Linked DNA regions of Astyanax mexicanus. The protein of the gene in region 1 interacts with the protein of each later gene in a biochemical or structural test. Links are inferred from orthologs where the notes say so. Each region holds a gene or a part of one and is shown in the gene's direction. Other genes may lie near its edges. The genes, in order: hspg2, kdr and fibulin-2.

Evidence for each region.
Region 2: the proteins of hspg2 (region 1) and kdr form a complex in vitro, tested with the Homo sapiens proteins (2 studies listed by IntAct). The link is inferred for Astyanax mexicanus from reciprocal best matches to the Homo sapiens genes HSPG2 and KDR.
Region 3: the proteins of hspg2 (region 1) and fibulin-2 form a complex in vitro, tested with the Homo sapiens proteins (2 studies listed by BioGRID). The link is inferred for Astyanax mexicanus from reciprocal best matches to the Homo sapiens genes HSPG2 and FBLN2.

Annotation. Positions count from the first base shown.
Region 1 is NC_064420.1:1,885,895-1,892,861, forward strand, and holds the start of hspg2 (basement membrane-specific heparan sulfate proteoglycan core protein), read left to right. Parts: upstream 1-3,889; 5' UTR 3,890-4,046; coding exon 4,047-4,247; intron 4,248-6,967. UniProt on the Homo sapiens protein: Integral component of basement membranes. Component of the glomerular basement membrane (GBM), responsible for the fixed negative electrostatic membrane charge, and which provides a barrier which is both size- and charge-selective.
Region 2 is NC_064408.1:64,162,104-64,169,944, forward strand, and holds the start of kdr (vascular endothelial growth factor receptor 2), read left to right. Parts: upstream 1-4,799; 5' UTR 4,800-5,056; coding exon 5,057-5,120; intron 5,121-7,841. UniProt on the Homo sapiens protein: Tyrosine-protein kinase that acts as a cell-surface receptor for VEGFA, VEGFC and VEGFD. Plays an essential role in the regulation of angiogenesis, vascular development, vascular permeability, and embryonic hematopoiesis.
Region 3 is NC_064420.1:47,016,318-47,023,328, forward strand, and holds the start of fibulin-2, read left to right. Parts: upstream 1-3,911; 5' UTR 3,912-4,006; intron 4,007-7,011. UniProt on the Homo sapiens protein: Its binding to fibronectin and some other ligands is calcium dependent. May act as an adapter that mediates the interaction between FBN1 and ELN.

The DNA of each region.
Region 1 (6,967 bases):
ACCTGTCTACCTCTCTATCCTGCGGCGCGAGCGCTCAGAAAGAGAAGAGAAAGTCCGCAGGCCACGCCCACACACCCCTGTTATGCTGCGCACCTGTTCTCCAGAATTAGCATACCGTGCTCTCATTGGTTAGACTGTGCTTGAAAATGGGTGTGGCGTTTGTCACAGGTGTGTATATTATGTGATGGCATGGCTCCTCTTGTGAAAAGGAAGTATATTTAAGTATATAAACTTAAACTTAAAAGTATGTTCTGTTTTTTTCTGTATTTTTCTGTTTAATATACTTGATAAAAATACACATTAAAATATGATTTTACAAGGAGGTTACCAGAATGTGTATAAAGGTTAAATAAAAACATTCTAGGAACATTTAGAAAACTTGACAGAACATTTTAAGAACGTTAATTGTAAAAAAAATATCAAAAGTACTGTTTCAATTGAATATACTTTATGAAAATATTACACATTATATATACCTAAAACTTACATTTGAAGATTAATTGTAAGATTCAGAAAATGTTCTACTAACTAAATATTGTTAGTTGCATAGATAGATGCATATTGATCCACACCTTAATGCTGCTTTAAATAAAAATACATTAAATGCACTTTAAGCAGCCTTTAATTTACGTTTTATTTAAATGTAAATACAGAGAGTATAAAAGTATATTTAGTGTATATTTTCATAAATTATATTAAATAGAAAATGTACTTTTAGTATTCTTTACCTACTTTAAACATATATTTAATGCTCTTAAGTATATTTCCTTTTCAATAGGGTGCACCTGATGTAAATATATCTCTTTACTAGTTTTTCTCAGCATTCGTGATCATTTCTGAGTGTGAGAAGCTGCTGTGTCTCCTGTCTCAGTTTGTTTTCACTGTAAACACACAGCGGTTAGACTTGTTAAAGACTGGAAGAACGAGCTGCAGTTCAGACTCATCATTACTGAAGCAGCACATTTTACAGAGTTCCTTCCTGGAGGTTGGAGGCCTGTTCTCCTCCTCCTTCCTCTAAAATAAACTCTGCAGAACCAGATTTACCTGTGGAGCCATCCTTCCTCACACAGACTGCTTCAGTGTTTTATTGCTTAGAGCCTATAAAACAATACAGTCATCAAACAAGCTGCATATTTGTTCAACATATATATATATATATATATATATATATATATATATATATATATATATATATATATATATATATATATATATATATATATGTTCCAAAGCCTAAGCTGCATTCGAGGCAGGGCGGTTCCTCTGTAGGACTGTCCAATGAAAACCTTCCATTGGAAAACCTGTGTGCTTTTTCATTTCTTTACAGAAATAATTAATAAATAATTTAAAAACATTTTAAAACAAATCTACACCAGGGTCTTTGTTTCCTTGTTAATTTCCACCAATTACCTTGTTGCCGTTTTAACTTTTTCCTCATTGCGTCGGACATGCGCATTGAATTGTGGGTAACTGTGGGCCAGGAAGGATACATCGGCTGCATCTATTAAATCACAATGAACGTCGATAGTATCTAAAAATAATGACTTAGTATCTAAAAATAATAAATTAGCATCTCAAAATACTAAGATAGTATCTCAAAATAATGAGATAGTATTTAAAAAAATGTCTTGGTATCTCAAAATAATGAGAGAGTATCTTAAAATAATGACATTCTATCTCACAATAATATAACAATATCCTAAAATAGTGAGATAGTATCTCAAAATAATGATTTGCTATCTTTAAATAATAAATTAGTATCTCACAATAATGAATTAGTATCTTAAAATAATAAATTAGTATCTCAAAATAATGACTTACAATCTTAAAATAATTTCTTACAATCGTAAAATAATAAGATAGTATCTTAAAAATAATGACTTACAATTTTAAAATAATGAGAAGATAAAAGAAAAATGGGCTGGATTAGTTTTTATTGAATTTCAGGTGGTGGGAATAGGCTTTCATAATATGCATTAAATCTAAATAAATGATATGAAAAAAATGTATTTATTTTCCCTTAGTAGCTCGAATTCTTAAATGGTTTCCAGTGCAGTGGGCGTGGCTAATATGCTGTTTGATTTGCCGATAAATGTTTATTCTGATGGAAAACAGGTCTCGATCTGCATTAAGTGCAAAAATACACAAGAAAGAGGAAAATACATATAATGTCTATTTTAAGGGACGCGGGATCTGAAAGGGTTAAGCTGTGGCTGTGCTGTAATGCGGGTAAATATCAGCAGGGGGCGCCACATTTCAACAAACTTGTAAAAGCAAGGCCTCGATCTCACTACTGAAACTCAGAGTCTGAATGATTCAGTATGTTCTATAAATCATATAAATACCAATCATTATCATTAAGTGAATCACTTTTAATAAACGTTATAAATAAATATTAAATGGTGCCAATCATTAATCGCAATTTTTGTTGTAACATTTTTTGTGTGTGTTTTTAGCTTGTCAGGTGTTGAAAAAAAAGCTTATCATTTTAGGCTTTAAAGGTCAACCCATACATTTTTTTATTTAAAAAATTAAAAAATATCTAATTCAAAACAATCAAGAAGCTTCAATCAAGAAGCATTAATTATTTGACAGGGATTGAGTACACCATTATCCAATCAAATATTATTTCAATCAAATATTCGTATTTCTAAAAATATGAAGCAAGATAGATTTGAATGTTGGGTTCTGATTTTTATTTTATTTTAAAATTGTACGTTGTATTGTCAGATTATTTTTTAAGAGTAAATTTCACCACCTCACAAGTCAAAACCCCCCAAAACAGATGCACTTTTCTGTTAACAAAATCACACCATTAAATATTGCAAGTCTATGAAACGTCAGTTTAAAATATCTATAAACAAGCAGATATAGAATATTAAAAATGGAGAAATTAATGAAAAGCTCTGTCTCTGGGTTTAGGGTTCAGGTTCAGAGCTGTAATGCTGGTAAAGCAACTCACAGACAGACAGACAGACAGGTCTATCATTCAGCTCGACATTTTTAGCAAACTTGCGGAGCATTTATAACCAAACAGATAATATTTTTTTCATCCTCTTTAACTCTTTAAAATATTTCAATTAACACACATAATAAAATTGTGCTATAATCACAAGCAATAACACACTTGTGGTTTGTGCTATAATGTGTAATATTGGCACAGCTATGCTGCTCTACAACCGCATGTAACAGAACAAACCACGAGTGTATTATTGCTTAATTATGTTTATTGTTTTTATATTTCAGTTTTAGTTACAGGCTAAACTTGCTGGCACCTTTTCCACAAAACGTTACTAAAGCGTTCTTATAATGTTCTCTATTAGCTGAGTAACTGAGGGTTTCTTTATTATGTTTAATATTTGTTATGATTATTGTGTTATTATGTTTCTTTATTTTTTTTAAATATATATTATTATATTATATTATTGTATGTACATTTTCTATGCTATAAAAGTATGTACTTTTTCATGTTTAGTAAACTTGAACGCATTTTTCTTTTCTTTTACTTTTGTTAGCTAAGTAACTGTTTGGTTTGGTGAGAGTTTTTTTATTATGTTTATTTTTACTATGTCTATTGTGTTATTATGTTTCTTTATGTTTTGTGTATATTATTATATTATATTATACTACATTATATTATTGTATGTACATTGTTTATGTTTAGTATACTTAAAATGCACTTTTACAGACTAATCTGCCTGGAAAGTTTTCAACAAAACGTTGCTAAACGTTCTTATAACGTTTTTTGTTTGCTAAGTAACGTTTTTTTTTAAATAGTTGAGTTTCTCTCTCTCTCTTTCTCTCTCCCTGACTCCAGACTCCAGTCCGGGTTTTCCTCCAGTCCCGGATCAGGGGGGGAGTCCCGATCCCACCCCAGCACCTCCAGCACCTCCAGCGTCCGGCCAGTCCTCCCAGTCCTCCCAGTGCTGCAGAACCTCCATACAGAGCTCATAGACCAGCAGCCCGGGCACGCGCTCGCTTTTACACAAGTTTTCGTGCAGCGCGTGCTGAGCAACACCTGCACGGATACTCCTTTAATTCGGTAAATGAGGTCCCGCCGCGCGTGGGACCGGGACACGCACTCCGCAAACTTCTGCCGAGCGCTTTTATTCTCCCCGGAGTTCGGGCTCCGCGCGCGGATCGGTACCGGAGCTGGGCGGACAGGAGAAAACATGGGCTCGAGGATAGGTGTCCGGAAAGTCTCAGGACTGCTCTTCTGGCTTTTAGTGAGCTCCTATATAGTTCAGGTAAGAAAGCAAAGCAAGCTTAAAACTTCTAACTTTTACTTCTAGTTCTACTTCTACTTTTATTTCTAAGTTACTTATATTCTACTTGTAGTCCATCTTCTATTTCTAGTCCAAGTTCTACTTTTAATCCTACTTCTTCTCCTTGTCCTACTTCTATACTACTTATTGTACTACTTCTATTCTACTTTCTCCTGCAACTTTCACATCAGCCTATTTATTCCATTAGCATGAGTTGGCTTTGCATTGTTGTTGTGCATAGAAAAAACAAAGACTTTAAGACTATCCATGACACGACTTTGCACAACTAAACTTGTTAGGTTAGCTACCAATTGCACTTTTCACTTTTCCTTATGTCTATCTAGTGCATGAGCTTCCCCCCAAAATAACTTTTTCTTTCTAAGTAAAGTTAGAAATGTATGTGCTATTCTGAAGTGAAAGTGGTGGTTAAGCCACACTGATTGAGTCTTACTACAACTTTTGCACAGATTTGATAGTAAAGCACTCAAAATCCAACTTTCACACAGTCCAGAAGACACACAAGCCTCCTCCACTTTCTTCCCAACAGTATCTGAGTGTACTCTGGTCTAATTTTGTCCACAGAAACAAGCTATTCATAGTCATAGTCTTGTTGGCGTCTCTTTGCCTGCAAAACTTTGCCTGATCAACTTTGGTTTCAAGTAGTATTGAGGTGTTAAACACCTGCAGAGGTGGCTGGAGCTCAACTTTAAGGAGCTACTAATGTTTAACAGAAAATTAAAGGGGTCTAAGATTGACCCTTGATACACACCACACACCACAATGACTGTATGCTATTCTCATAGTTTGATTTATTGCTAATTTTCTTGGGTATTAATGGTAGTATTTGTTGGTACAGTGTCTATTCATATACCTTTCATATTTAGTTTCTATGTTTTATGCATTGTTGACTGAAAGACAATATCCACTTTGGTTAAAACTCCTTCTATTTTTTTAAGAGATACTAATGTTAAATAGAAATTCAAAGGGGCCTCAGATTGACCCTTGATACACACCACATCGTTTTGTGTAGCTTTTAATGACTGTGTGGTCTTCTTATGTTGTAACTTATTAGCCTACTACTTTTCTTAAGTAACAGTCAATTGTCAACAGTCAATAGAAACTCAAAGGGGCCTGAGGTTGACCCTTGCTGCACGCCACATTACTTTGTTTAATGACTGTATAGTGTTCATATTGTGTGACTTATTACTAATTCTAATGGATAATAATGGAAGTTACTTTAACATATCAGTGAACAGGTCAGTGGACTGTATGAATTTGTTGGTAGAATGTAGGTAATCATAAAACCTCCTTTATTTTAAGGATTATTGGCTGCTTAACTTGTTCAGCTTTAGTTTTCAGCAATATTGAGATATTGAGGCTAAAAACCTTCAGAGGTTGTTGGTGCTTATTTTAAATTACCTACAACTTATATGATACAGTAGTTTCACATGTATTGATCTGTTTTTGTCATTAATACAGAAGTAAAATCAGTATCCCTGATGAAACAGCTTCCTCAGTTTTACTATTGTTTCAGAGACCACCAGAGCTCACACAATGGCATTGTAATTGGATTATCCGGAACCAAGGGCATCTGTTTTCCACATTACAAGACGGCTTTACTACTTTCCAGACAGCTCTTTTGATTCAATTGAGTTTTGGGGCGCTGGTTGCTCCCGGCAGTGCTGGTTTCCAGTAGGAATTTCAGGTCAAAGAGTATCAATCAGCCCCAACAAAACCCCAATAAAAACACTTTATGACCTTTTAGTTTACTGCCACAGTCAAGTGGCCCGACCCTCTGTGAACAATCAGTAGCCTGATAATTACCACTGTGTTCTTTACCATCTGTCACTTAAAGCCGTCAGTGATGGTTTAATTTCTGAATGTAAGTTTTGAGTGAATTTACTTTAATAGCCTAAAGCATTTAACAGTTTTAAGAGCAGTTTCACACAAAGGCGTTTAAATTATGCTGTTAGAATTTGCCTGTGTTGCAGTCTGTAGACTGTGTTGGAATCAGAAGTCTGTGTTGGAGCCTGTGTTGAAATCTGTGTGTTGGAGTCTGTAGCCTGTGTGTTGGAGTCTGTAGCCTGTGTGTTGGAGTCTGTAGCCTGTGTGTTGGAGTCTGTAGCCTGTGTGTCGGACCCTGTAGCCTGTGTTGGAATCTGAAGTCAGTGTGTCATAGCCTTTGTGTCAGAGCCTATGTGTTGGAGTCTGTAGAGTGTGTTGGAGTCTGGAGACTGTGTTGGAGCCTTTGTTAAAGTCTTTGTGTTGGACTCTGGAGTGTGTTGGCCCCTGTGTGTTTGAGCCTGTGTTTGACCCTGTGTTGGACCCTGTAGACTGTGTGTTGGAGCCCGTGTGATGAAGTCTAGAGTCTGATTTGGAATCTAGAGCCTGTGTCGGAGAGCCTGTGTCGGAGAGCCTGTGTCGGAGAGCCTGTGTCGGAGAGCCTGTGTCGGAGAGCCTGTGTCGGAGAGCCTGTGTCGGAGAGCCTGTGTCGGAGAGCCTGTGATCACTATTGTGACCATCAGTGTCTATTTTAGTTAGCTCTCTCTTCACATAGAGCTCCGCAAGTGTTCTCTGACTTCATCTGATGGTATGCTGCTGGGGATCGCATGGCCTGGATTCCTGCGGCCATATACAGCTCACTGCCGGGATGTTGTGACAAACAATTTTCTATTTTATTGCCCCTCACCTTGGCTTGGTTT
Region 2 (7,841 bases), on another chromosome or scaffold:
ATATCCCGAAGGTTTGCGCCCAGTAGCTTTTGCCAGTCGCAAGCTTAGCTGTTCTGAAAAAAAATATCCGGTTCATCAGCTTGAGTTCCTAGCTCTGAAGTGGGCCATAGTTGACAAATTCCATGATTATCTATATGGGGTACACTTTACTGTGAGAACTGACAACAATCCACTCACATATGTTTTAACTACGGCTAAGTTGAATGCCACTGGGCAACGATGGCTTGCTGCCCTCTCCACATATGATTTTGGCATCCAGTATAGGCCTGGACGGGAGAATATTGATGCAGATCTTTTGTCTCGAAATGCCACCGATGATGTGGGGTGGATCTCCCCAGCCGCAGTAAAAGCTTCCTGTAAGAAGGTGAATGTTTCTGTTGACATGCCTAGCAGGTATGTAGAGCAGTTAGGAGCCTCACCTAATGCTATTCCAGAATTATATGCCTATCCCACTAGACTGGGTGTTAGTTCACTGGAGCAACTGAGTGGAGAGGACTTGAGGAGAGCACAAGAGGCTGATGCAGTCATCAGTAGGGTCCGGAATGCTGTAGATGGAGGTCTGTGGCCCCTGGGTTTCCAGAGTGACATGCCAGACATGCCCTTATTCAAACGTGAGTTCCAGAAGCTTGTGCTAAAAAATAGACTCCTGTACCGGCGAACCAACAGAGGAGGGCATGACATTTTCCAGTTAGTACTTCCCAAAGTTTACAGGGATACAGTTCTACGCTCTCTACATGATGACTTTGGCCATTTAGGAGTTGAAAGGACTACTGAATTAGTCAGAGACCGGTTTTATTGGCCCAGAATGGCATCGGACATAGTTAACTACATTAAAACATGCGGCAGGTGTGTAGCTCAAAAGACTCTGCCCCGCAGAACAGCACCATTAGGTCAGCTCTCTAGTAAAGGCCCGCTTGATTTGGTATGCATAGATTTTTTATCTGTTGAGCCAGATTCTAAAGGTATTGCTAATGTCCTTATAGTGACAGACCATTTCACCAGATACTCACAGGCTTATCCTACTCGGGATCAGAAGGCCCCTACCGTAGCCAAAGTACTGTTAGAAAAGTTCTTTGTCCACTATGGACTGCCGGCCCGTATCCATTCCGACCAAGGGCGTGACTTTGAAAGTCGCCTGATCAAGCAGCTACTTGACCTGCTGGGTATAAAAAAATCCCGGACATCTCCCTATCACCCTCAAGGGGATCCCCAGCCAGAGCGTTTCAACCGCACACTGCTGTCCATGCTGGGCACCCTGGATCCAAAATTGAAGCACAGATGGAGTCAACATGTTGCACTTATGGTGCATGCTTATAATTCCACCCGTAATGATGCTACGGGGTACTCTCCCTATTATTTAATGTTTGGTAGGGAAGCACGTTTACCTATAGATGTATGCTTTGGCACTGCTTTGGGAGGGCAAGAGGAAGCCAAGCATGAGATGTACGTGAAAAAGCTGCGTGAAGAGCTGCGTCGAGCATACCAACTGGCTGTTGAGTGTTCTAACAAGAGCCATGACAAAAACAAAAAGGCTTATGATGCCAAAGTACACAACCTTCCTATAGAGGTGGGGGACAGGGTTCTGGTCCGTGCTTTAGGGAGTACTGGGAAACAAAAGTTGAAAGATAAGTGGAATTCTGTGCCTTATACAGTGGTAGAAAAAATGCCTAACATACCTGTGTACAGAGTCAAACCTGAGAGAGGAGTAGGGGTGCCCCGAACACTTCACAGAGACCACCTTTTACCCATTGGCTGTCTGATGCGTTTACCAAATGTTTCAGATATAGCAGACTCACATTCAAGCCTTGGGGACCAACAAGCTCGGACACGTCGCCAGCAGCAAACGAGAGTCACGGAGAGCCATTTTGAAACAGAAAATGAGCAGTCTGATTTGGAAGAGGACATGCCTTATGTCAGACCTATTGAGTTCTCTGAACATTTTCCTAGTCCATCCTTACAGCCAGAGGGGCCGAGCCACGATCTTGCAAGTGAGCCTGTCGATGCAGAAGTTGCAGAACAGGAAGAACCCCCTGGGGAGCCAGACATACCTATGTCTGTAGGGGAGGAAAATGCACCCGAATCGCAATTTTGTGATGTTTCTGATACAATGGAGGTCTCAACCAGTGACCAACAGTTGTTGGAGGAACAGGAGACCGAACCAGACATGATGCCCAGTGACCCCTCTTTGGGTAAAAGAGCTGTTAAACCTGTCATTCGTCTGAGCTATGATGAGCTTGGGAGTTCATCTGACCAGCCTCTAGTTATTGTACACCGAGGGATGAGAATATATATCACGCCCCCAGTAGAACCCTCAGTTGTCCCCTGTTTTTCTGTTCGGTTGACTCTCGAATGAAACTGCCTAGTAAAATTTAAAAGTCAGATGAGGACATCAGACGTTTAGAAGGGGGAGGGTGTAGCCCAAATATAATTCAGTTCTATATTTAGTTCCATGCTTCTATGTATCTAACTACTGAAAAAAAAATGTTTTATAGGTGTTGTTGAATGGTACTGAAATATTGTAGCAGTTTGTGTAAGATTTTTAATGTAATAAGAATATATATATTTTTTCTACGTTGAATTATACAGTATTTTGAAAAGTGTTCTTACATCCCAAGCACCTTAGAGGGTTAGGGAGTCCATTTATTGGGTCATCTACCTGCCAATCTTACCTCCTTTTCCATTGATTGGTTGAAGGGGCGGGGAAATGGAGTAGCGGTGTGTGTGTGTAGGGAGAGAGAGGGAGAGAGAGAGGGACGAGGGAAAAAATACAGGAGCTCTGGATGTTTTATGGCGTTTTTGGTGTTTTGTTAAAGTTTGGGTCCAGAGTGACCCATGAGTTAAGTGAGTATGTATTTCTGAAGTGTTTTTCTTTGAGAGAGTTCGCTGTTGAACACTATTAGATGAGTTTTAACTCTGTTTATAGCTTGTAAGTTAGCCTAGCCGGCTAACCGTAACGAGATTTAACTTTAGTGACGAGCCACGCGGAGCTGCGTGTTTTCGCCGCTCAGATAGCGCCACGAGCTACCAGGATAACGCTCGTGGTTCCTCTGGGTGCCTCGTGGGAGCACTTTTACCCCGGATAGCGCCACAGGTCAGCCAGGAAGCACCTGTGGTTCCTCCGGCAACGTGGGAATTCTTCAGTTCAGTCCTGTTCAGGTAGAGGAGAGTGGCCAACTACCCGCTCTGAGTCAAGAATCTGAGTCAAGAATTTGAGTCAAGAATCTGAGTCATGAATCTGAGTCAATTCGTCAAGAGTGACTGTGAGTAAACATCTCCGTTCAGAAACAGTATCAGGCCTGCAACGTTTTTTTTATTTTATTTCTTATTTACTGCCGGCTCTTTGTATTTATTTATAAATGTATTTTTTTTTTCCCCCTCTTTTTGTTAAACAAGTATTACTAAATATGTTAATTGAGTCCACTGCATTGTCTACCTAAGTTGAAGTTATTTAGGTTATAGAAGGTTTAAAAGAAATACATCAGTTCTTTCCCTATATTGGTATTTTCAGATCTAATTACACATTAGTGTGTATAGTTTTATTTATCCCCATTTATACATTTTGTTTTTGTGCATCAATAAACTTCACTGGGAGTACTCATTGCAGCCACATATCTTTAATTACCTGTGACTAGGTCTTTTACTTCTTCAAGACATATTTACAGTTGGTAGCTAAATTTACAGGAGAGGTCTAATTAATGAACTTGGGGCCCTGTCCCTTTGGCCTGGGATGTAGGAGGGGTTACATACAGTATATTAGAAAAAAACGTGATTGAAAGTTGTCTGTTTTGCCATTGAAACCTATGGGGATGGGTGGGGTTACACAGCTTTCTGAAACCGAACAGCAGGGGGCGCCCGACCTGTGGTGGCTTCACTTTTGAGAGACGATGCTCTGTCCAGCTATACACAGTCCAAACACCCTTCAGACTGGGTGACTCGGGTGACCCGATGAATCGCTTTTTCCACTGTTATCCAGCCTCAAAGTAGCTCCACACCTCCTTGACAGAATTCAGAGAACCTTGACATTTAAAATGATGCATTAATAACTTAAAAAGTGCACAAGAAGCTTATTAAAAAACTACTGTTTACATCCTATAATGCTAGCTTCAGCTCCGCATAGCGTAGCATCTGGCGCCAAGAGGCAGGCTATGCGAAGTCTATGTATATTTATGTCTATGTAATTTTTTAGTTCAGTGATGGTGGCGCTCGGAGCTGAAGCTAGTGTTATGGGATGTAAACAGAGTTTTTTATTAAGCTTCTTTTGCACTTTTTCTTGTGGTGAACAATCCATGTGTGAAAATGATGATCTCATGCTCCCTGAACCACTCTTCTACAATTCCAGCCCCATGAATTCTGTTATTGTAATCTTGGAATATATCCTCGTCATCAGGGAAGAACAAATCCATTGATGGAATAACCTGGTCTATATTCAGTATATCCAGGTAGTCAGCTGACCTCATTCTTTCAGCACATACTGTTACTGAACCCAGACCTGAACAACTGCAACAATACCAGATCACCTGCTTGTTTTAGCCAGGCAGTGTATTTGTGCTTTGTGAACAGGAGTCTGTTGTTATTGGTAGTGAGAGTCACTAGTATCACTGTTATGAGTGCAGGTCAGTTCAGGTCTGATATCACTCACTGCTTGATAGGTTTAGGTGCTGGGGTAATTAGTGTTTGATAAGACGCATCCTGACTCCTAGACCTGATCTAAACTCCCCACAGTCCAGTTTATCACACGTTTCCAGGCTCGAGACTGAGGCTGGGTCACCGGCCCCTCCCTCTCCCCCCATCATCTCCCTCCTCACGCGCTCTGTGCTGCTCCCTCAGTGTGTGTGTGGAGCGCGCGGGTCTCCTGCAGTGCGCGGGGCATCGCTGAGTGGATTATCTCCGGGTTCCGCTACAGGACTGTGTGAGAGAGTGTGGACAGCAGTGTGTGTGAGAGAGTGTGTGTGTGAGTGTGGAGCTGTGGGTCCTGATGCGCAGCTGAGAATAGCCGTCCTGTGGGAACTTCTAAGAGGGGTTTGATGCGGGGACAGTCCGGCAGGGTGGTCGCACCATGGCAAAGCCATTTTCACTTCTCTCTCTGGTGGGCATTATTTCTGCAGTCAGCTGGGTGACAGGTAAGACCAATACAGATTTATATTAAAAAATAATAATAATAATTTATTTACCCACCAAAAGCCTAAAATCTAATAAATATAACTGCATATTGTTTTATTATGAAGCAGTGACCCGGATTTGTTTATTATGTCTTTTATGTTGTTGTCATTGGAAAAGACGTAAAAACCCTTCTTAAGTAAAAGTCCATATAAAAAGATCCAAAAAGTAATTTTTAATAATTGTTCCACTCATTATAAATATTTTACTCAAAGTAAAATACACAGCAAAACCAGTAAGTGAATAGATGTAAAAAATCTAAATAAAAAATATATCTAGATTTAAATTAATAAAAAAAACAACACTAATATCTAGATTTAAACAAAATAAAAAAACAAAAGCAACAACATATCTAGATATAAATAAATAAAAAAACAACAACAGAGTTTAAAAAAAAACTCATATGTGTTTGATGTGTGTTTAAATAGATAGAATTATAAATATAATATATAAAAATTATATATATAATTACCAAACAATAAAGTTTTATTTGAAAAGCAAGGAAAAAAACACATAGTCTATGTATTTTATGGTGAGAAAAGTGGCAAAACTAATGAAACCTTAATTAAATTTTGTTCGATATCCTTTCTCTGGTTAAATGTTAATTTTTTTATTATGTTCGAATACATTTAGTGCATCAATTTTTTTTTCAGAAATAAATAAGTGTTTAGTAGCTCTAAATATATCGCACCCACTCTTTCCTGCTTAATTGTAATCAGCTCAGGAAGGGAGGGGTATCAGACTAGTGTCTTAAAATGCTTGAGAACATCAAAATTATGTATAAAAACATACAAAATATTATATATATAAATATATATATATACATTAACATTACATTTGTAGGTTAATATAAAAATATTTAATTGTAGAAAACATAATTTCTTATGACAAGTCATCAAAGAAATAATAAAGATCAAATGCTAGTTCTGACAGACTGCTCATATTAAACGTTTGCCCTTCATCTTTTTTTCTTTCTTTTTTTTTTTTTTTTAAAACTTGTGACCATTTTGCCCAGAACCTGGTGCCATTCCCACACTGGCATTGTTGTTTGAAATGACCTCAGTGAGCAACAATTCTGAGATCAGATCTCAGCACTTCTTAAATCAAATGTTTGAATTAGTGGGGCCCTGTGGGGTGTGCTCATTGTAGCTGTGGGCCGATGTTTGTGTGCGTGTGTGTGCTGTCCCTTGCCCTGGTTCCTCTGGAGCAGGAACCCCACCTCAGGGCTTGGAGCGTGGGGCCATTTAGGCCGGCCCCGGCCCATCTGCCCCAGCTTCCTGTTTTGACACAGTCAGTTCTCTGCACTGCTGCTGTTGCTCCAGTGGAAAAATAGCCCCAGAGCTTAGACTGCACACTCCAGAATTCTCCAAGAGTGCTGGTCCTGGATCAGGTGGACTTCAGGTCTCTAGAAGAATACATGGATGGAAGCTGGTCTTAGATCAGTACTTGTGCTTTGAAATATTTCAGTTGTATGGGCCCAGAATTCTGAACCAGGCCAGTTCAAGCAGTCGGATTCACTACTGCTGTTATCAGCTATAGTCTGTATAGTTTATGGTGTATTTATGCTGCTGATACAAGGAGAAATGTGCATTAATGAGAATTATACAAAGCAAGAGTACTGAAAATAGTAAGGTTTTGGGTTCAGCTCTGCTTACAATACTTTGTATATTTAATTAATATAAAAATATACAAACCCCAAATCGAATTCCTCATGATATAAATACATGTAAAAAAGAACAGAAAATAGTATAGTTCCCAATTGTCGTAAAATGTGTGGGAGCAACACATCTCCAAAAAGTTGGGACAGGGCAACAAAAAGCTGGTCCTAATAAAAACAGCTGCAATAGGAGCAATTCATGACTAACTCCCATGAATGGGTACAAAAAGAGCATTTTAGAGAGTTAAAGACTCTTAGAAGCAAGGATGGGGAGAGGTTCACCAACCTGCAAAAAGATGCATCAACAATTTGTGAAACAATTTTAATGAAAAAGTTCCACAATGTAAAATTAAAGATATTCCTGATTATCCCAACATGTACAGTACATATCATAATTGAAAAATCTGAGAATCTGTGTGTAAGGGACAAGGGAGAGGGATCAGTATTGGATGCTGGTGATCCTAAGGTCCTCAGGTAAAACAGCATTAAAACTGGCATGATTCTCTTCTGAAAATCACTGCATGGGCTCAGGAACACCTCCAGAAACACGGTTCAGCATGCAATATACAAATGCAGGTGGAAACTGTTTGATACAAAGAAGAAGCCACTGACCTCTGACAAAAGCACTGCTGTCTTTTCTGGGTCAAAGCTCATTAAAATTGGCAAACCCGAAAACTGTTCTGTGGTCAGATGAATCAAAATAAGAAAATTTAAATTTGGTGCAGAGAAGCTTCTGGATTGTGTCACATTGTTCTATGTGTTATGAGAAATGTCGGTACAATGGATGTTCAAATTAAAAGATGATGTTACTATGGTAATGAGAAAAGATGACATGAAGCACATTAAGTAAATATCCTTCAAACTATTACCCAGATTGGCGCTACACATTAACTTTGCCAGTGTTTAATTACATTTCAACACTCACAATGTTTGTTTAACAAAATCAGTGTTGATTCAAGACTGGCAAATTTACTGTTTACTCTGTACACTAATAAATTCCTGAATGTTGTGGCTTAGAACATTGAAT
Region 3 (7,011 bases), about 45 Mb from region 1:
AGATATATAATGGGAAATAAGAACAGTGTGAATTTTTCTTTTAATAAAAACAGCGAAAGTAGTACCCTGATGTGATAATGTGGGGTGTGATAATCAGGGGTGGGTGATATGGCACCATATTTCAGGGTTTAATATCGTTTACGATATTAAAAAATTGGCAATATTATCGTGTACAATATAATATGGCACACCTCTAGTTATGGTTATGATCTCAAAGTCTGGGTTATGATTTGAAAGGCTGGGATATGATCCCTTAGTTTCTCAGGGGGACGTCTGTAAAAAATATTTCAAACTTCTACTCAGTGATAAAACTCCTGCATCCAGACTGCAGTTGAAAAAACAGGAGGACCAGTGAGTTCAGTAGCTCCTCCATTTCCACTCGCTGTTGTGTTTTTATGTAGATCTCCAAGGAAACGTGCACCCAATAATAACGGTGTGCGGCAGTGGACAAATAGCTATTTTATTCAACACGAGGAGACGAAACTCAGAGATATGCATCCGGACGATACTAAAAGTACTGGAGTTCAGCGAAAAACAGTAGATAAATCAGCCTGTCATTTTTTTTTAGAGAACATAATCTCAGAGACACGCACATGGTCGTTCTGGACAGGAATAAAATCACAGAGGATAAAAAAAACCCGTAAAAAAGAAAATTACCCCAGAACCCCCTGAGAAAATAATTCTGTCCAAATAGGGCTAAAGTCTGGGATATGATCTTAAAGTCTGGGTCATAATCTAAAGGTCTTCAATATTCTAGCTGGAGCATCTGTGACTAAGACAGCAAGTCTTTGTGATGCATCAAGAGCCACGGTATCCAGGGTAATGTCAGCATACCACCAAGAAGCACCAACCACATCCAACAGGATTAACTGTGGACGCTGTAAGAGGAAGCTGTCTGAAAGGGATGTTCGGGTGCTAACCCGGATTGAATCCAAAAAACATAAAACCACGTCTGATCAAATCACGGCAGAATTCAATGTGCACCTCAACTCTCCTGTTTCCACCAGAACTGTCCGTCACCACAATAAATTATTGTGCTCTAAAACCAGGTGTTTCAGTTTCATTGTAGTATATTTCACAACAAATGGAACATGTTTTAAAAATATATATATTTTTTTGTTTGTGCAGACGTTGTGAAACAATGGTGCTCACCGGTTGGTTAGAGAGTGGCGTTAATCCTGAGAAATGTGGAGAGGTCAGCGAGACGTCGGCCCCCTGCAGGGCCATTAGGTGGATTATGAGGAGGCGGGGAGCGAGGCGCAGGGTCGCAGCAGTAATACTGGCAGAAGTCACGATTAGGCCACGCATGAATGAGAAATAACAACAGAGCTGAGGGCAATTACCTTCTCCCGGGCAGAGCGCGTCAGATCGCATTACTTGCGTCCAGACGTTTCTGCACAGGCAGAGACTGACCGGCCCTGAGGACCCGCGGACCAGCCGGTCACCCAATACCCCGTCCAGATACTATCTGATCTTCATCTGCAGGACCTGCTGTGGGCTTCAGGACTGTGTCTGCACAGCACACTTCCTCTTCCTCTGAGAGAGAGAGCACTATAAACCAGCAGAACTAAAGAGGATAAATTCACCAAATCCGATTAGACTTTCTCTCTGTTTACATATTCAGAGTTCATTCAGACAGAAACAACAGAAATACTCTAAATACACCTGTGATTAACCCAACTACTGAACTGAGAAAACTCTACACCTGATATTTTAATATTCATTCATAAGCAGTAAACACACAGGACAGGACTAATTTCAGAACATGTGCTTATTATACTGTATCTATTGTTTAATAAAAAGTGAACTTTCAAGAACATTTGGGAAAACTTTGGAAGAACTTTTAGAGAACTTTTAAAGAACTTTAAAGGACATTGGAAGAACTTAGGGAGAATTTGGGAGAACTTTGGGAGTTCTTTTAAAGAACTTTAAAGAGCATTGGGAGAATTTGGGAGAATGTTTAAAGAGCATTGGAAGAACTTTGGGAGAATTTGGGAGAATGTTTAAAGAACATTGGAAGAACTTTGGGAGATCTTTTAAGGAACTTTAAAGAGCATTGGAAGAACATTGGGAGAATTTGGGAGAATGTTTAAAGAACATTGGAAGAACTTTGGGAGATCTTTTACAGAACTTTAAAGAGCATTGGAAGAACTTTGGGAGCACTTGGAAGAACTTGTAGAGAACTTTAAAAAACACTGAGACTTTTTTAGAGAACTTTGGGAGAACTTTTATCTAGATAACTTTGAAGAACATTGGGAGAACTTTTAGGGAAATTTGGGAAAACTAAGAGAACTTTAAAAAACACTGAGATAACTTTTTTAGAGAACATTGGGAGAACTTTTATCTAGATAACTTTGAAGTACATTGGGAGAACTTTTAGAGAATCTGGGAGAACTTTTAGAGATTTTGGGAGAACTTTTAAAGAACTTTGAAGAACATTCAGATTTTGGGAGAAATTTTAGAGAGCTATCAAGAACATTGGGAGAACTTTCAGAGAACCTCTGGAGAATTTGTGAGAACTTTGAGAGAACTTTGAAGGACACTGGGAGAACTTTCAGGGAAATGTAGGCGAACTTTTAGCTAGAGAACCTTTGTAGAACTTTTAAGAACATTAGGAGATTTTTGGGAGACGTTGGGAGAACTTTTAGAGTACTTTGAAGAACTATGCTGAGGTGTTGGTCCTCTCATCTATTATTTAATACACTCTAAAAGGTGATTTTTTTTATGTTTGGCCACCTTAACTAATATCATCATGTGGAGTAAACTTTCCAAACTGTACAACCCAACAATAGAATAAGTTCAAAGAACTTTAACCCAAAAACATGTGTATACATAGTTAATACACTGTGTATATATTGTAAATTAATAAAAAAGAATTTGGGAGAACTTTTGGAGAACTATTAGAGAACTTTGGGAGAATTGTAAAAGAATTGGAAGAACTTTTAGAGAACATTTGAGACAACTAAGAGATTTTGGGAGAATATTTAGAGAACTTTAAGAGAACTTTGGGAGAATTTTAAGAGAATTTGGGAGAACTTTTAGGGAACTTTGGGAGAACTTTTAGAGAACATTTGGGACAACTAAGCGAATTTGGAAGAATATTTAGAGAACTTTAAAGAACATTGGGAGAATTTTAAGAGAACTTTAGGAGAACTGTAGTTGTAGATCATTGCTAATTGATTGTGCTGAGGTATAGGCCCTGTTTCTTATTCTTTCTCAATTTCTTTCTTCCTTTATGTCTCTTTTTCTCTCTCTGATATTTTAATAGTCATTCATAAGCAATAACACACAAGACATTTCTTTCAGAACATTTATTTATTATACTGTATCTATTATTTAATACACTCGAAACACTGAACTTTAAAGAACATTTGGGAGAACTTTTAGAGAACTTTTTGGGAGTTGCTCCCTTTGCTGACACAGATATGCAAATGCACACAAACACCGTGTCTAGTCTCTGTAGAGACATATCGCCAAAAGAATAGGACTCCCTGGAGCAGATCAACCTTAAGGACCCTATTGGCACCATGCCTACTGCCAGATATGGGCTAGATAGAGGGGTATAAATAAAGCCCCCCAGCATCGCCCAATACTTCTTATTGAGTTCTTATAGAGAAATGAGTGAATGAAGCACGCGCCCCTCCCACATAAAACATAACACAGCGTGAATATTTCCCCCACCTGTTTTCATAACAAGTTCTCTGATTGGCTAGTAATCTCCCTCCTTACCACTGCTGTGCTAGGATTGGTCAGTTGGGTTCACCCTGCAGTGCTGTGATTGGTTGCTACTATGTATCCTCTATCTGCCCACCCACTTTCCAACTAATAACCAATCCGAGCGCAGTGGGCGTGGCTTTCCGGAATACCGGTGTGAAACAGCGCTGAGCTCCGGGTTTGAAAGAGAAGCGCAGCGCTGCGCTCAGAGAGAGAAGACCACCCGAACGGAGCCCACCACCACCACCACCAGGACCACCACCACCACCAGTAGCTCCACCACTGCGGGCAGGTAGGCTCTTCTGCTGCTTTTTCTGCAGGAATCACAGCAGTTAGAGAAGTACACTGAGCTGTTCTTTGGGTTCAGAATGGAAGGAGAACTTTAGGAGATCGGTGTTGATGGATTATGCTGAGATATAATCACCGCAAACTCTCTCTCTCTCATTCTATGCCTATAACTCTCTCTCTCTCTTAGTTGATGCATCTTTCTCTTTTTCTCTCATTCATCTCTTTGGAATGCTGTGAGAACATTATGAGAACTTTAGGATAACTTTAGAAAAAGACTGAGTGGGAGATGTTTAGATCTTTGTTTGAACTATGAAGAACCATTAGGAGAATTGAGATAATTTTGAATAACATTTGGGAAAATGTTGGGAGAACTCTGTAAGAACATTATGAGGATTTTAGGAAAACTTTGGAAAAGACGGAGTGGGAATTTTTAGGACATCTTTATTAAAACTTTGAAAAACATAGAGAACTTTGGAAGAACTCTGTGAGAACATTATGAGGACTTCAGGAGAACTTTAGGAAAGACTGAATTGGAGATTTTTGGGAGATCTTTACTAAAACTTTACTAAGAACTATTAGGAGCATTAGGGGATTTAGAGAACTTTGAAGAACATTTTGGAAATTAGGAGATCTATGGGAGATTGTTGGGAGAAGTCTGTAAGAACATTTTAAGGACTTTAGGAGAACTTTGGAAAAGACTGAGTGGGAGATTTTTAGAAGGTCTTTGCTAGAACTTTAAGGAACATTTGGCAGAACTTTGATAGAATTTGGGAGAACTTTCAAGAACAATTGGGAGAACTTTGGGAGAATGTTGGGGGAACACTGTGAGAACATTATGAGGTACTGAGGTACAGACCCTCTCACTGTCTCATATTCTCTCACTCTCTCCCTTTCTCTCTTTCTCCCTCTCTCTCTCTCTCCATTCATTGCTCATCTCTCTTTCACTCTCTCACTCTGTCATCTTTCTCTCTCTCTCTTTCCCTCTCACTCTGTCCATTTTTCTACTCTCTTCGTCTTCCTCTCTCACTCTGTCTAACTGTTCATTTTTTTTCTACTTTATTCATCTTTCTTTCTCTCTCTTTCTCTCCCACTCTGTCCATTTCTCTCTCTCTTCGTCTTTCTCTCTCACTCTGTACATTCAATTCTCTCTCTCTCTCGCTCTCTCTTTATCTCTCACTCTGTCCATTTCTCTCTTTCTTCCATTCTCTTTGTTTTTCTCTCTCACTGTTCATTTCTCTATCTTTCTCTGTCTTTCTCTCTATTTTATTTTTCTTCTTTCCACTCTTTTAAGATTTAAGATGTGTAGCTTTATTGAGGTGGCTCTTATGAGCATAATATTACCGAAGTTTTACAAAAACAGTGACAATTAAAGCAACTTCGTGTGTAATTCTTTCTGAATGTATGTTTCAGTCTTTGTCAGCTAGTTTCTCTTTGTGTTTCTTTCTCTCTTCGTATCACCCTCTGTCTGCATCTCTTCCACACTTTCTCTCCTCTGAATCACACACTCCAAAAACACACTCCACCAGACAGTACACATAATGCACTATATTTCCTACACCCAACATGCACTATATGTCCAAAAGTATTTGAACAGCTGCTCATTCATTGGTTCTGCTCAACATTAATATCATATGCTTCTGTTAAAGTAACTGTCTCTAGTGTTCTGAGAAGAGTTTCTACTAGGTTTTTCGAGAATTGCTGTGAGGATTTGATTGCATTTAGCGACAAGATAAACAATAGTGAGGTCAGGATGTTCGGTGATAACTAGTGCTGCACGATACTGGAAAGAATTTACATTGCGGTGATATATATCGCAATATTAAACATTGCAGGGCCCATGCCATCACCAGCCCCGCCCCCACCCAAGCGCCGTCTCGCGTCCGGACCAATCAAGAGCTGAGTCGGCACAGGGCTCAACTCAAAACCCGAGGAAAACAGCAAAACAACAGAAATCGGCCCTTTAATCAGGCATTTAAATGCCCTTTTAAAAGGTAAATAAGAGCATTTGTTTTTCTGGGATTAAAACGTAAATTCAGCTGTAAATGGAAATATCTGTGCTGCAAAACTGTGCTGGACTGAGCTGCACAGCTTTGAACATGTGCTCACATTTACAAGCACGTGCCCAACCATGTGGATGGAGGCCATGCGGTTACATCGCGCTCCCCCTCCCCCTCGCGCTTCTCAGGCAGCAGCAGCCTGTCACTCACACAGACACAGAGACAGCACTGTGTATCTATTTCTTGTGTCATGAATCAAAACATGACGCAACATGACATGTTTAATTGAATTGCCTTAAGTGACATTGTACGTCCTGCGATGTGATTATTGCAGAGAACACAGGGTGTCCTATTCTATTGGCACTACTTTTCTACAGGGACTACACAAGCTGTGTTGTGCATTTGCACATCAAGGGTCAGCAACGGATGCACATTAAAGCAGCTGACTGTATTCATTAGAAGTGCTGTCTACAAACATTATAGGAGGTGTTTTTGCAGTATGTAGTGCTGATGAGTTAATATCAGAGGGCCTGTAGAAACGCTGCTTGTATAAATATATGAGTTGTAGATTTCTGAGCTGCTTTTCTTTTCAGTGGCATGCTTTAGTTTGGCTGCTCCTCTGACGTCTGATTTATTAAGAGTCCGGGAGGCATTTTTCCCTGATTTAGTCTCAGCAATTCTTCTGTGTGTGTTTATAGTGGACGTCAATCTGAGCAAAACCTCAGATCTCAGAAAAACAAAAGATCTGAGAGAGAGCTTTTACTGCACACATACACTTTCTGGCCACTTTATTAGAAACACACAATAGAACCATACAAAAGAAAAAAGAACCAACATTCGGTTTAAGCTAAATAACTCAATCTTTGCAATGTGTGTCTGTGTGAGCCACACTAAACATGAAGAACAGAAAGAGGTGAAGAGAACTGTTCAGGACTGTTCATGGGTCTTGCAACAGGACAATGACCCTAAACAAAGAGCTGGAGAGTTCTGAAGTGTCCAGCAATGAGTGTGA